3 linked regions of the Oryctolagus cuniculus genome follow. The main gene of each other region encodes a partner of the protein of the gene in region 2 in a complex. Links are inferred from orthologs where the notes say so. Each region holds a gene or a part of one and is shown on either strand. Other genes may lie near its edges.

The links.
Region 1: the proteins of RAB8A (region 2) and RAB3IL1 are in contact, whole or in part, in a crystal structure (PDB 4LI0), measured with the Homo sapiens proteins. The link is inferred for Oryctolagus cuniculus from reciprocal best matches to the Homo sapiens genes RAB8A and RAB3IL1. Residues at the interface, in NP_005361.2 of Homo sapiens: Lys10, Phe33, Ser35, Phe37, Ile43, Asp44, Phe45, Lys46, Ile47, Gln60, Trp62, Thr72, Ile73, Thr75, Ala76, Tyr77, Arg79; in NP_037533.2 of Homo sapiens: Arg104, Glu108, Leu111, Glu112, Thr115, Ala116, Phe119, Glu120, Ala122, His123, Arg127.
Region 3: the proteins of RAB8A (region 2) and RAB3IP are in contact, whole or in part, in a crystal structure (PDB 4LHX), measured with the Homo sapiens proteins. The link is inferred for Oryctolagus cuniculus from reciprocal best matches to the Homo sapiens genes RAB8A and RAB3IP. Residues at the interface, in NP_005361.2 of Homo sapiens: Lys10, Phe33, Ser35, Thr36, Phe37, Ile43, Asp44, Phe45, Lys46, Ile47, Trp62, Ile73, Ala76, Tyr77, Arg79, Gly80; in NP_783322.1 of Homo sapiens: Ser199, Arg202, Asp203, Gly206, Leu209, Glu210, Thr213, Ala214, Phe217, Glu218, Ala220, His221, Val224, Asn228.

Annotation. Positions count from the first base shown.
Region 1 is NC_091432.1:10,263,152-10,266,761, reverse strand, and holds part of RAB3IL1 (guanine nucleotide exchange factor for Rab-3A), read right to left. Parts: coding exon 3,600-3,610; intron 3,515-3,599; coding exon 3,437-3,514; intron 2,900-3,436; coding exon 2,681-2,899; intron 2,060-2,680; coding exon 1,913-2,059; intron 1,504-1,912; coding exon 1,375-1,503; intron 1,273-1,374; coding exon 1,160-1,272; intron 1-1,159. UniProt on the Homo sapiens protein: Guanine nucleotide exchange factor (GEF) which may activate RAB3A, a GTPase that regulates synaptic vesicle exocytosis. Promotes the exchange of GDP to GTP, converting inactive GDP-bound Rab proteins into their active GTP-bound form.
Region 2 is NC_091447.1:64,696,495-64,700,719, reverse strand, and holds the start of RAB8A (ras-related protein Rab-8A), read right to left. Parts: upstream 2,803-4,225; 5' UTR 2,755-2,802; coding exon 2,631-2,754; intron 1-2,630. UniProt on the Homo sapiens protein: The small GTPases Rab are key regulators of intracellular membrane trafficking, from the formation of transport vesicles to their fusion with membranes.
Region 3 is NC_091442.1:72,361,056-72,364,665, forward strand, and holds part of RAB3IP (rab-3A-interacting protein), read left to right. Parts: coding exon 1-83; intron 84-2,181; coding exon 2,182-2,310; intron 2,311-3,558; coding exon 3,559-3,610. UniProt on the Homo sapiens protein: Guanine nucleotide exchange factor (GEF) which may activate RAB8A and RAB8B. Promotes the exchange of GDP to GTP, converting inactive GDP-bound Rab proteins into their active GTP-bound form.

The sequences.
Region 1 (3,610 bases), on a different chromosome or scaffold from region 2:
CCCAGTGCTTACCTGCCTTGCCCATCCTACCCTCTTTGAGTCCCCTTAGCTCCCCCATGGTTCTCAGCTGCGGCCAGCCAGGCCCCACGAAGAGCCCCCCTCCCAGGCCACCTTGTCTCCTCCCCCCAGGCATGTCCAGCCACCCGCACGGCGGGTCTCTGCGGCTTGAGGGCCTCCCGTTGGGTCTCCCACTTCCAAACCCAGCTCTTGCCTGGACAGAGACCTCTGGGTGACCACCCCAGCACAGGGTCACTATCCCCAGGCTGGGTCAGGCCTTTTGCCTCGACACCTCCTCCCCCTCCCAGCCCCTCTCAACCGCATCCCAGCCAGCGACTCCTCCCAACACCCTCCCTCGCCTTCCCAGTGGCTTTAGGGAGACTCCCAGGTGAAAGATTTAAGCAGCTGCGTGGGTGCAGGACTTCTCTGGGTCACGGTGGCTGTCTGAACAGACTGGAGGTGACTGGATTGACAAAGCACCAGCCCCAACCTCTTTCCACTCTGGCCCCAGTCACCCTCTGCAGGCTTGGCCGACTCCCTGTCCAGCCCACTGCCCCGGCTCCTCACACGGCCGCTCCTTCTGCTCCCTCCCCTACCTGGCAAAACCAGCTCACAAGTCCCCTTCCATGGTGAGGCTCCCACCATGCTGTCAGCTTCCCTGGCCAGATCCTGGAGGGAATCCTCCCCAGTCTCTGCCCCTTGCTCCACCTACCCTGGCGAGCGGGTTTGGCTGCTGCCCCTGCTCAGTGCTGCCTGTGTAGTACAGGGGACAAGATGCCAGGGTCGTTGGACTACTTATTGGCAGGAGGCATTGCCAGCCACTGAACATCACTTCTGCGTTAGTGGGGGGTGTGTGTGTGTGTGTGTGTGTCAGAACTCAGTGAGGGGGACAGGGAGGTAGGGGGAGCAGGGGTCAGCCAGCCAGCAGAAGGAGGAGTCCAGCTCTGGCACTCCCTTGGAGGGCCTGGGGCTCCCCAAAGACCCATCAAAGCTGCCTCCTTTGCCTGCAAGGGAGCCACAGCTGTCCGTCTCCCGTCAGGAGCCAGTCATACCTGAGCCCCGCCCACCCCACCCCCTGGGGTTCCACGCTGAGACTCAGCCCTCACTGTCCACCTGCTGGGCAGGGCTTTCCCGCGTGGGCAGGAAAGGGCACGGAGCTTACTTGGCGCTGCCGCACTCCACCGCAGCCACCGTTACAGCAGGCAGCGTGTGCAAAGCCACGGGCTCGATGGTGAGCGTGTTGTCCTCCACGGCGGCCCGGACCAGCGCCGAGAGCTGCAGAGACCAGGGCGGGGGTGGGGGTGGGGGTGAGGGGCCTGGCCCCTGCTGTAGGGTGCGGGCTGTGCCCCCCGGCTGGCCGCCATCTACCCGCCTCACCTCCTGCACGGTGAAGTCCAGGCAGGGGCCCACGTCCTCCCGGTACACCCTCTCCAGGAAAGGGCTGCTCTTGTCCAGGGTGGGCGACTCCCGCCAGGCCTGGAACTCTGCAAACAGGGTCGTGTCCACCTGCCGGGGAGGGGTAATTAGGGTGCTGGGGGCCAGCATGGCAGAGGAGGCAGATCAGGGGAAGAGCGTGCCGGGGAGGGGGCGGTGAGGTCTGTCCCCAGAGGCTGGCCGAGCAGGGAGCAGCGTTCCTTCTGCCTCCTTGCCCCTGGGAGCTGCAAGCTGCCAGCTCTGACTTCAGGCGTGCTTCCTGTTTCTCCGTGCTACAGGATAAGCACCCTGCCAGAGGTCCCTCACTGCTGAGAGCAAACCAGCAGGACCCCACGCGCCCGGGCAGGTGACAACGCACTCACAGGCGCATGCACACAGGGTGGGGGGAAGTTCATGGGGACCACACAGGCCCGCCCTGGGCGGCATGCACAGTGCATCAGGCTGCCCGGAGCAGCGGGGGGCCCCTCTCTGGAGCCATTACCTGCCGGGACAAGGAGAGAGAGGTAGCGGAGGTGGGGGCTGCAGGCGGCTCCCCGGGCGGGAGCTGCCAGGCCGGCTCGTAGGTGAGGTGGACGGCCTTGTTGGGGATCACGCACAGGAGCAGGGAGAGAAGAGGGGGCAGCCCCGGCTGGGCAGGAGGACAGGCAGGCAGGCAGACAGACAGACAGACAGGAGGAAGGAGGAGACGTCAGTGACCAATCAGAAAGCTTAGAGCTCAGAAGGAGATGCAGGGGCTGCCCCGTGCCTCTCCTCCAACAGCTGCAGGGACAGAGGTGATGGCAGGACGAGGCCTGGCTGGGTTTGGCATTGAGGACCCAGGCGGCTGCGCTGCACCACCTGTCTTTCCAGTGTCCCCCGGAAGCAGCACGGAGCTGGCTCTTGACACCCTTGTCTCGCCTGCCCATTGGCCACAGGAGGACAAGGAAACTGAGCCCCTGACAGGTGGCCTCAGTGGCTCAGGGACCCAGTGCCAGGAGTGTCAGCCCAGCCTGGACCAGGACCCCGTGTGCACAGCCCAGGTGGGAGGCAGACCCCCTCCAAAGGCCACGCTTGGATAGGCAGAGGGTGCTACAGAGCATCTCACGGGGGCTGTGGCCACACGAGGCCCAGTAGCCTGTGCCCAGCCCTCACAGCCCAGGACCCAGGCTCAGAAAGGGGCAGGACAGGTTCCAGGTCACACCGCGCGGGGCTCCGACCCGGCTGACCGTGAGGGCCGTCTCCCGCCCCCGTGCCCACAGCCCGCCCTTACCTCTTTGCCCTCCTTGTCTGGGGTGAGAGTGTGCCCTGCGGTGGGGCACACAGCGGGGCACAAGGCACTGCTGATGCTCTTGTGGCGCGAATGGCCCTTCCGGGGCCCAGCCTTGGTGGGGCTCAGCAGCTGGGGGTGGAGCTCGCGGTTGGGAGAGGCCGGCGTGGACGTGATGACCAGCGTCTTCAAGGCTGTCACCTCCGCCTGCAGCATGTCAATCTGGCCGGGATGCCATCACCCATCAGGGTCAGCCCCGGGCAGCAACTAGCACCTAACCCCACCCATCACCCTTGGAACAGCGTTTGAGGCAGGGGCCCAGGCAGCCATGCCACAGATAGGCTGAGGCTCACGGAGGAGAGGAGGCCTGCCCCAGGTCTCCCGATGAGCAGGAATGATAGGAGCAAGTGTGTGGGAGGGGCCAGGTCTCCCGGAGAGTCCTGGGGCCCTGGGAGCCAGGAGGGCCCAGGCCACACGTTTTACAGATAGGTAAACAGGCTCTAAGGCTGGGAGCTACTTCCCAGGCTCACTGGGGTTTCTGCTTTGTAAAGGGACTCGGAAGCCCCTGGAAAGCCCCAGAAAAGTCTCACTGGAGCAGCAGACACACTGGCAGAGTCCAGGGCCTGGGCTGTGTGATCAAGAGCCCCCCACTGCCCTGCTCTCCTGCCCTGCATTGGTCTAATCGGGCAGCAAAGGCCGAAGCTGGCAGGGCTGGGCGGGTGCCCCAGGAGGGCCAGGGCAGGAGGGGCCAGGCCTCACCTTGCCCCGCGCCTCCTTCAGCTGCTTCTCGGATGCCGCCTGCTTCATGTTGGCCTCTCGAACCATCTTGTGGGCTTCCTGGGAAGAGGGCAGCCTCCGTGTGGGTTGGTGGGGAGCCGAAGGCAGCCCAGGCCTGGGCTCCCCGGGCTGTGCCGCAGCGTACCTCAAACAGAC
Region 2 (4,225 bases):
GAGAAACTGCACGCACCAGGCCACACCTCTTCTACCTTGTGACAGAAATGTCCACAACAGCAAGCCCACAGACACCGGGCGTGTGTTCGGGGTTGCCGGGGGCTGGGGAGAGTGGGAGACTGGGGATTGGCGGAGGAGGGTGGGGGTTTCTTCCAGCATGACCAAAATGCAAAACGGATTGTGGTGAGTGCAGAAAAGCACCCCTGAATTGTACCTGGTTGGTGGGTGACACCGTACGGTACCCCATTATCTCACTGAAGCTGTTACAAAGGGGCTGGTGCCGGCATCCCGGATGAGCGCCGGTTCAAGGCCCAGCTACTGCGCGCTTCCGATCCAAACACCCTGTGGATGCGCCTGGGAAGGCAGCAGCCAAAGACGGCTCAAGTGCCTGGGGCCCCTGCCACCCACATGGGAGACCCGGATGGAGCTCCAGGTTCGTGGCTGCAAACCCAAGCGTGCACTCGAACTCTGCCCATTAGCAACTTTGCCAAGGCAATGGGCTGCACGCAGCTTCCTTGCTGCTGTCACAGGGACAAAACGCCCAGCCTCGTGCCGTCGCTACCTCCCCTCCTGATGCACCCGAGCCGGCTCTGAAGCCCTGGCTCCAGTGCTGATGCCCAGATGTCCGTGGAAGGCGGCTGGCATGCCACAGAGCCACAGGGTGTAGGTGGCCGCGCGTGGTGAGGGAGGCACTTGCACAAACATCATCCGTCTCGCAGAAGGCACGGAGCGGGGTCCCCGAGGAGATGGCGGGGACGGAGCCAGGCTGGTAGAGAATGGATCGCAGGGAGCCGCAGGGCCAAGTTCACACCACAGATGATGGATGGAGCTCCTAAGAATGGGCCTTGGCAAGACGTAACCCCAGGGAAGCAAATGAACAGCCATTCAATCCCCGATCTATTAAGAAAACCCAGAGGGGCACTCGATACCAATATCCAAGGGCTCTGTGCCTGAGTTCTGTCTCAGGGATAAAGCAGTCGGGCGCGGATCCTTTGCACCTCCTGTCACTGGGCTGCACAAACTCAAGATGCACTGCTCAGTCGCCTGAGCCCTAGAGCAGCCCTCTGTCCTGCACTCCTCCTGGGTTCTAGGAACACGCGAGGTTCAATTAGCAAGCGCACACTTTACGAGGCCCGTTAACTCCAAGGTCATGGTTGAGCAAAGCCTAGAAGCCAGAGCCCCGTTAAGGCGGCTTCAAATGTAACAGGAAGAAGACTGGTGTGGCAGGACAGGACAGGACCCTGGCTCCCGTGCCACCTCCCGCCACGCGAGGCGACTCCAGGAACCAATCGGTCTCCCCCAGATTGTCGCTCTGGGCCACGGGCGGCCGTTCATTCATTGTATGGAGTTCTAATCTGAAGACACGGGGCTCAGAGAGGGGTAGTGCTTGTTCCAGGGCAAAGAGCAACAGGAAAGCAGGCATGGTGACCTCCAGCATGGTGGAGTTCCGGGTGATAATGAGATGTGGCTCAAGTGACATGGTGGTGGTGGCAGTGGTGGGGTGGGGTGGGGTGGGGGGAAGCCATTCCCTAAGTTTCCTCAGTCTGGGGTCAACCCCTGGACTGGGTGACTGTCCCCTCTGCTTCCTGAACAGGGCTACCTAGCTCGCAGGCCACTGTGGGACGGCTGTGCCTCCCGGGTCCAGCCTTGTCATCGTGGGCAGGGGCTGGCTTTTGTGGCACGGTGATGAGAAGTCAGCAGGGCCGACAGAAAAAGACAAGTGGATTCCGCTCAGCCGCCACGTGGGGTGGCCCAGCCGGAAGCGCTGTTCCCTCAGTGGGACAACCACGGAGTCCTGGGCCCTGTGATAGGGAGTGGGGTGCTGTCTGTGGCTTCTCACGGAGCCTTGTATCTTGCATCTCCTTGGGGGAGGGGATGACAGGTCCCTGGGCGGGCAGCTGTCACTCACTGGGGCTGTCACCCTTGAGTGGGATAGAGGGCGGGGCAGGGTAAATGCTCCTCACTCTCCCTCACGATTCCAGGGCCAGGGAGGAGGCTCAGTCCTTAAAGTCCAGTCCCAGGGGAAAAAGCAGGAGAGAGAGGTGGGGGTCGGAGTGTTGCTCCCAAGTGGCTCCTCTGGGCTGTCAAGACGCATCGAGGTTCAAGTCTCATCCGTGCCATTTATTCTGCAGGTTGTGTGACCTTGGACAAGTCCCCCGGCCACCCTGAGCCTCAAATCCCGCATCCGCGAAATGGGTTCGTGACAAACACCTTAACTTGCAGCCCCAGGAGGGCGCGATCACGCAGCTGGCAGAGCGCAAGTGCCCCAGCATCCACTTCTGTACGACCGACCCCTCCCACAACGCCCACAGATGAACTTGGCTTGGCAAGGGGCTGCGAGGACGGCACGAGAGGATGGGCGCCAAAACCCCAGCCCCGGACCGACACTCCCGACGGAGCGGGCTGAGAGGCGGGAGCCTCAGTCTACCCACTCGCCAAACAGGCACTGGTCCCCAGCACCACCACGGCCCGGGAACCCGCGAAGCGCGGCGGAGCCAGCTGCTCGGCTCCCTTCAGACCCCCTGAGAGCCCGCTGCCCCTCGGCCAGGGTCGATGCCTCAGCCCCAGCCCCTCAGGGGCGCGCCCGGCCCGGGCCTCCGGCGCCCCCGGCCGCTCCCCAGCCCCGCTACCTATGGTGGAGATGAAAGTGGAGTTGAAGGCGTCCTCGGAGAAGCGGAACAGGACACAGGTCTTCCCCACCCCCGAGTCCCCGATCAGCAGCAGCTTGAACAGGTAATCGTAGGTCTTCGCCATATTACACTCTCTCCTCGACGGGAAGTGCGGCCAGCGCCTCGCCACTGGCCGCTGGACCCGTCCATCAGCTCCGAGCCCGCCCCTCATTGGCTCCCGGCCCGCCGCGCGTCACCGCGGCCGACGCCCGCCCCCGAGCCCCGCCCGTCGCGGGGAGACCTGAGGAAGGGGCGAGCGGAGCGCGGAGCCGGAAGCAGCTCGAGCGCGCCTCCCATTGGTCGGCGCTCGGGACAGGGCGGGCTGGGATTGGCCAGCGATGAAGAGTAGAGGGGCTTCAAACAGGGACCGGGGCGGGGGTGTGGCATCCCATGTCCCCGCCTCCCCCCCCCGCCTCGGGCTCTGGGGAGGCCCCGCCCCGCCCTCTGAGGGGAAGGGGCGAGTCGGGAGCGGGGCCAACGGCTTCGCGCGCCGGCAGCCCAGGGGCGGGGCCTGGTGGATAGGCGCACGCGCACTTGAAAGATCGTTGGTCGCCGGCAGAGGGCGCACGCACGTGGAGGAGCCCCTGGGGCCCGCCCTGACGGCTCGCGCAGCCGCAGTAGGCGCCAAGGCGAGCGCGGGAAGGCTGGGTAGCCAGGCAACGCCAAGTGGAGTTTTCCGCGTCCTGCCCGTCAGTGGGAGCCAAAGAGGAAACAGAGAGAGCCGGGAGCTCATCGAGACAGAAATGCAACCCCTCGAGACGGGCTGCGGGCTCTCGGCCAAGAGAAATATCCAGGCCTCGGCGACCTGAGCGGCTTTCCCGCCGCCAGCTGCGCCCTGAGGAGAAATTGGGACGCCTCAAGCGAGACCCGCCCTCGGACCTAATTAGAGGCTGTCCCGGCCACCTTCAGCTTCTAGTGTCCATCCCCCCAGCCTCGTCAGCCTCACACCCAGCCGGCTGTCTGAGGCGGTCAAGTCACCCGCCCGGGGACTCAGGGCGGCGGCAATTCTAGGTCACGTTAAGGAGCGTTGCGTCTGTGCCTGGCGGTGGTAACCAACACTTAAAAAAAAAAAAGTTTGGGGCTGCTCCACTTCTGAGCCACTTCCCTGCTCATGTGCCCCGGAGGGCGGCCAAAGATGGCCCAGGTGCTTGGGCCCCTGCCACCCACGTGGGAGGAGCCAAGCTCCCGGCTTTGGCTTGACCTAACCAGAGCTATCCGCGGATGGAAGATATCTCTCCCTTTCTGTAACTCTCCCTTTCAAATAAATAAATCTTTTTTTAAAAAAAGTTTTATGATAGTTTTGTATTTTTTTTTCTTATGGTGGGAAAACAGGCCCACAGGAGGTTGACTTTCCCAGGCTCTCAAGTGGGAAGTTAGTTTTTGAATTCAAACCACCAAGCATCAGAGAACCAAAGTTGGAACCACTGGGGTTTGTGCCTCTCAGCGATGGTCCAGTCTCTTGTAGGTCACACTGAGGGCATCAGAGAGGCCTGGAGGCTTGCCTAAGGCTCTCTGGAAGATGGCCCTGGCCTCTCCTCCACCCTTCCTAGGCTCAT
Region 3 (3,610 bases), on a different chromosome or scaffold from region 2:
GGAATAAAAGTACAAGCAGTGCCATGAGTGGCAGTCATCAGGACCTCAGTGTGATACAGCCAATTGTAAAAGACTGCAAAGAGGTAACTCGTCAAGGACTGTCCCCTCTGGCTTTCCTCATGCTTTCAGTTCTCAGCACTGAGTGTCGGTTGTGGTTTTTACTGGCAAAGGTTTGAGTACAAAATATGTGCTAGTAAGAGGGGGGAGGCTTTATCTAGAGCTGGCTGCTTTCAGGGGTTCGTCAGTTCCATTCTCCACCTGATTGACTGTGGAAAACCTGCTGGAAACTTGGTAGGCTTCTTCATCTCACTATTTCATCTAGGGAGCACACTGTCATGGCTTGTATGAAGGAGAGTGGGTGGTGTCAGCGATCTGCCTCATCCAGATTTGCTGCTGGAGTTTCTCCGTAACTCTTCCCTGAGACTGCACTCTCTCCACTTTTTTTTTTTTTTTTTTTGACAGGCAGAGTGGACAGTGAGAGAGAGAGACAGAGAGAAAGGTCTTCCTTTGCCGTTGGTTCACCCTCCAATGGCCGCTGCAGCCGGCGCACCGCGCTGATCCGATGGCAGGAGCCAGGAGCCAGGTACTTATCCTGGTCTCCCATGGGGTGCAGGGCCCAAGCACCTGGGCCATCCTCCACTGCACTCCCTGGCCACAGCAGAGAGCTGGCCTGGAAGAGGGGCAGCCGGGACAATCTGGCGCCCCGACCGGGACTAGAACCCGGGGTGCCGGCGCCGCTAGGCGGAGGATTAGCCTAGTGAGCCGCGGCGCCGGCCTTTTTTTTTTTTTTTTTTTTTTAAAGACTTATTTGAAAATGAGAATAACAGAGAAAAGAGAAGAGGCAGAGAGAGAGAGAGAGAGAGAAAGGTCTTCCATTTGCTGGTTCACTCCCCAATTGGCTACAGTGGCCGGAGCTGTGCCAATCCAAAAGTCAGGAGCCAGGAGCATCTTCCAGGTCTCCCATGCGTGTGCAGGGCCCCAAGGACTTGGGCCATCTTCCACAGCTTTCCCAGGCCGCAGCAGAAAGCTGGATTGGAAGTGGAGCAGCTGGGACTCAAACCAGCGCCCATAAGGGGTGCTGGTACTGCAGGCGGTGGCTTTACCCGCTACACCACATTGCCAGCCCCTCTCCACTTTTTTAAAACTATCTTCTAGACTACAGCAATAAGCACCCTCCCTACTCCGCCATCTTGGAATTCCTTACCCTTAACTTTGATTCAAGGAATTTGAATTGGGAGGAAAAAAGCTCACATTGATATCTTAAAAGGAAATCTATAGGAAAGCTTGGATATGCTCAGCCTTCTTTTGCCTTTGTGTAGACTGCTTGCACATCTGGTTAAGCGTCCGAGAGGCCGCCACGGCTGTTGTCAGTGGGGCGTTTATAGCACACCCAGCACTGTGGACCTGGTTGGTGTGGCGCTGTGTGAGGACCAGTGAGACTGCTCTGTGCTGGGGTGGTTGGCGTGTCTGGTGCAGGTGCTGATCTGGGCTGAGGGAGCCTGAGGGTCTGTAGGGAAGAGGACTTGGGGAAGATGTACTGTAGAGGGGCAGCCGGGGATGGCCAGCCACAGGTGTGGCTAGGAAGGCAGTGCCGGCAGGCGCCTCTGTGGATAGTTCAGGTGGTAGTTAACTTGATGTACCGAACTATTTAAATAAATGCTGAGTTTTAAGATAGTTTAGTAGGTTGTGTGTGTGCTTTTTTGTCTAGTTGCCTACACAGCAAGCATCTTGGCATTTTTAAACTAAGTGCCTCCAGGTTAATAGAACAATTAGTGTCAGCTTATGACCTCAAATCAGGTCTCACTCTTACTTTATTTAGCTTGACTCCAAAGTACTTGTTCATTAATTTCAGAAAATACTTATCATCCTTTTTTATATTCAGAACAGTACGTACCTGTGTCTTCAAAGGAGCTCCAACAGGGTAATGGCAGCATCAGTGGACACCGTCATGGATACTATGTGGATACTACTAGGCCCATCAGACAGTTTTCTTAAAAGTCAGTTTTCTTATAGAAAAGTTGGTACTGTGTATTATAGATAATTAAGAATGGTCCAGTTCATTATGTTAAATAAGGAGCATTTCTTTTTTAGTAATATTTGTATTATGTTTTGGTTTTACAAAATGGTTTTTTGTTTGCACTTTTTAAAACTTTTTTATGTGTTTCCTTTTGGCTTGTTTAGGCTGATCTGTCTCTGTATAATGAATTCAGGTCTTGGAAGGATGAGCCAACAATGGACAGAACATGTCCTTTCTTAGACAAAATCTATCAGGAAGATATCTTTCCGTGTTTGACATTTTCGAAAAGTGAGGTAACTTTTTTTTTTCCATGTTAATGGGAACACATTAGATTTGATTCTGTACGTTTTATGAAGTCCTGTTCCATATTTTAATATATCTGATATAAGTAGATTATCATGAAGTGTCATGCTCAAGCATTTTCTCCGTCCTGTATTAGATCCTAATGTCTTGGCATTTGATTACTGAATATCTTTCCTTATTTGAGCAGAGCATCATTCATACTGAGACTTGCATTGTGTTCAAGAGAAGGATGAAATGTCTATGGGAGTAGGGCTTATATTTTTTGATTCGTAGTCCAAGATTCAGCATAAGGAAGTTCTCTGTACATTCTGCTTAAGGCATTTGTTGAGTTTATCTGTACATGATGAAATCACACTTCTTTTCTTTTCTTCTTCTTTAAAGCATGAAAAATAATGCCCTCTTTGCTTAAGTCCCAAGGGTGTTAACAGGATAAAATGAAGTATGTACTAGGTTGATAGAAAATTTTTTAAAATTTTATACAGATGTAAAGATTAAATTTGTTCTTGCATGTGGAAGGTTTATCCACAAATATCCTGTCAGTATTGAAGAAATTTAATCCTGAGAGTCTTAGTTACGTCTTTCAAGGATTTAATTATAACATTAATTTGTAGGAAGAAGTTCAGATTAACTGTGTAACACTTTGGATAGGAATCTGTGTTGTTGTTTGTGGCCGTGTGCCTGGATTCAGGTGGGCCGTTCAGTGTTCGTAATCTTGGCAGGCTTGAGAAGTGTGCCTTTTTCATTTGTTGTTTATTGGTTGTGCCCTTTCCATCTGGGATCTAATATCTGATAATTCAGTGAATTACTTCGTGCACATATGTGCAAGTTCAGAAAGTAATAGCCATAACCAGCATATACTGCTATGTGATAAATGACCAACACACAAAAAAATTGCATGTGTTCAGTGGCATAAGGCATTAGAATATTCATTTTGAAGTGGCATTAACAGTGGGTATTTAGTTGTAGGTAGGGAGGACACAGAGACTGGGATTAATAACTTTAATCCTCCTCCAGGTCATGAGAAAAGTTATTTCACCATAACTGAATTGCCTTTCATAACAGTGCTTGAATTATAAGAGAAATCAAATTAAGATTATGCGATGTCTTTCTTACTTGTTGGCTAAGGCCAAGCTAGTGGAACTTGGGGGAAGAATCATGTATAAGATTAGATGACTGTGGAGTACAACGTTGGTATTTTCCTGCAAGCATAAAGTCTAATACTTTTCACTTTGTTGAAGCTGGCTTCAGCTGTTCTGGAGGCCGTGGAAAACAATACCCTGAGCATTGAAC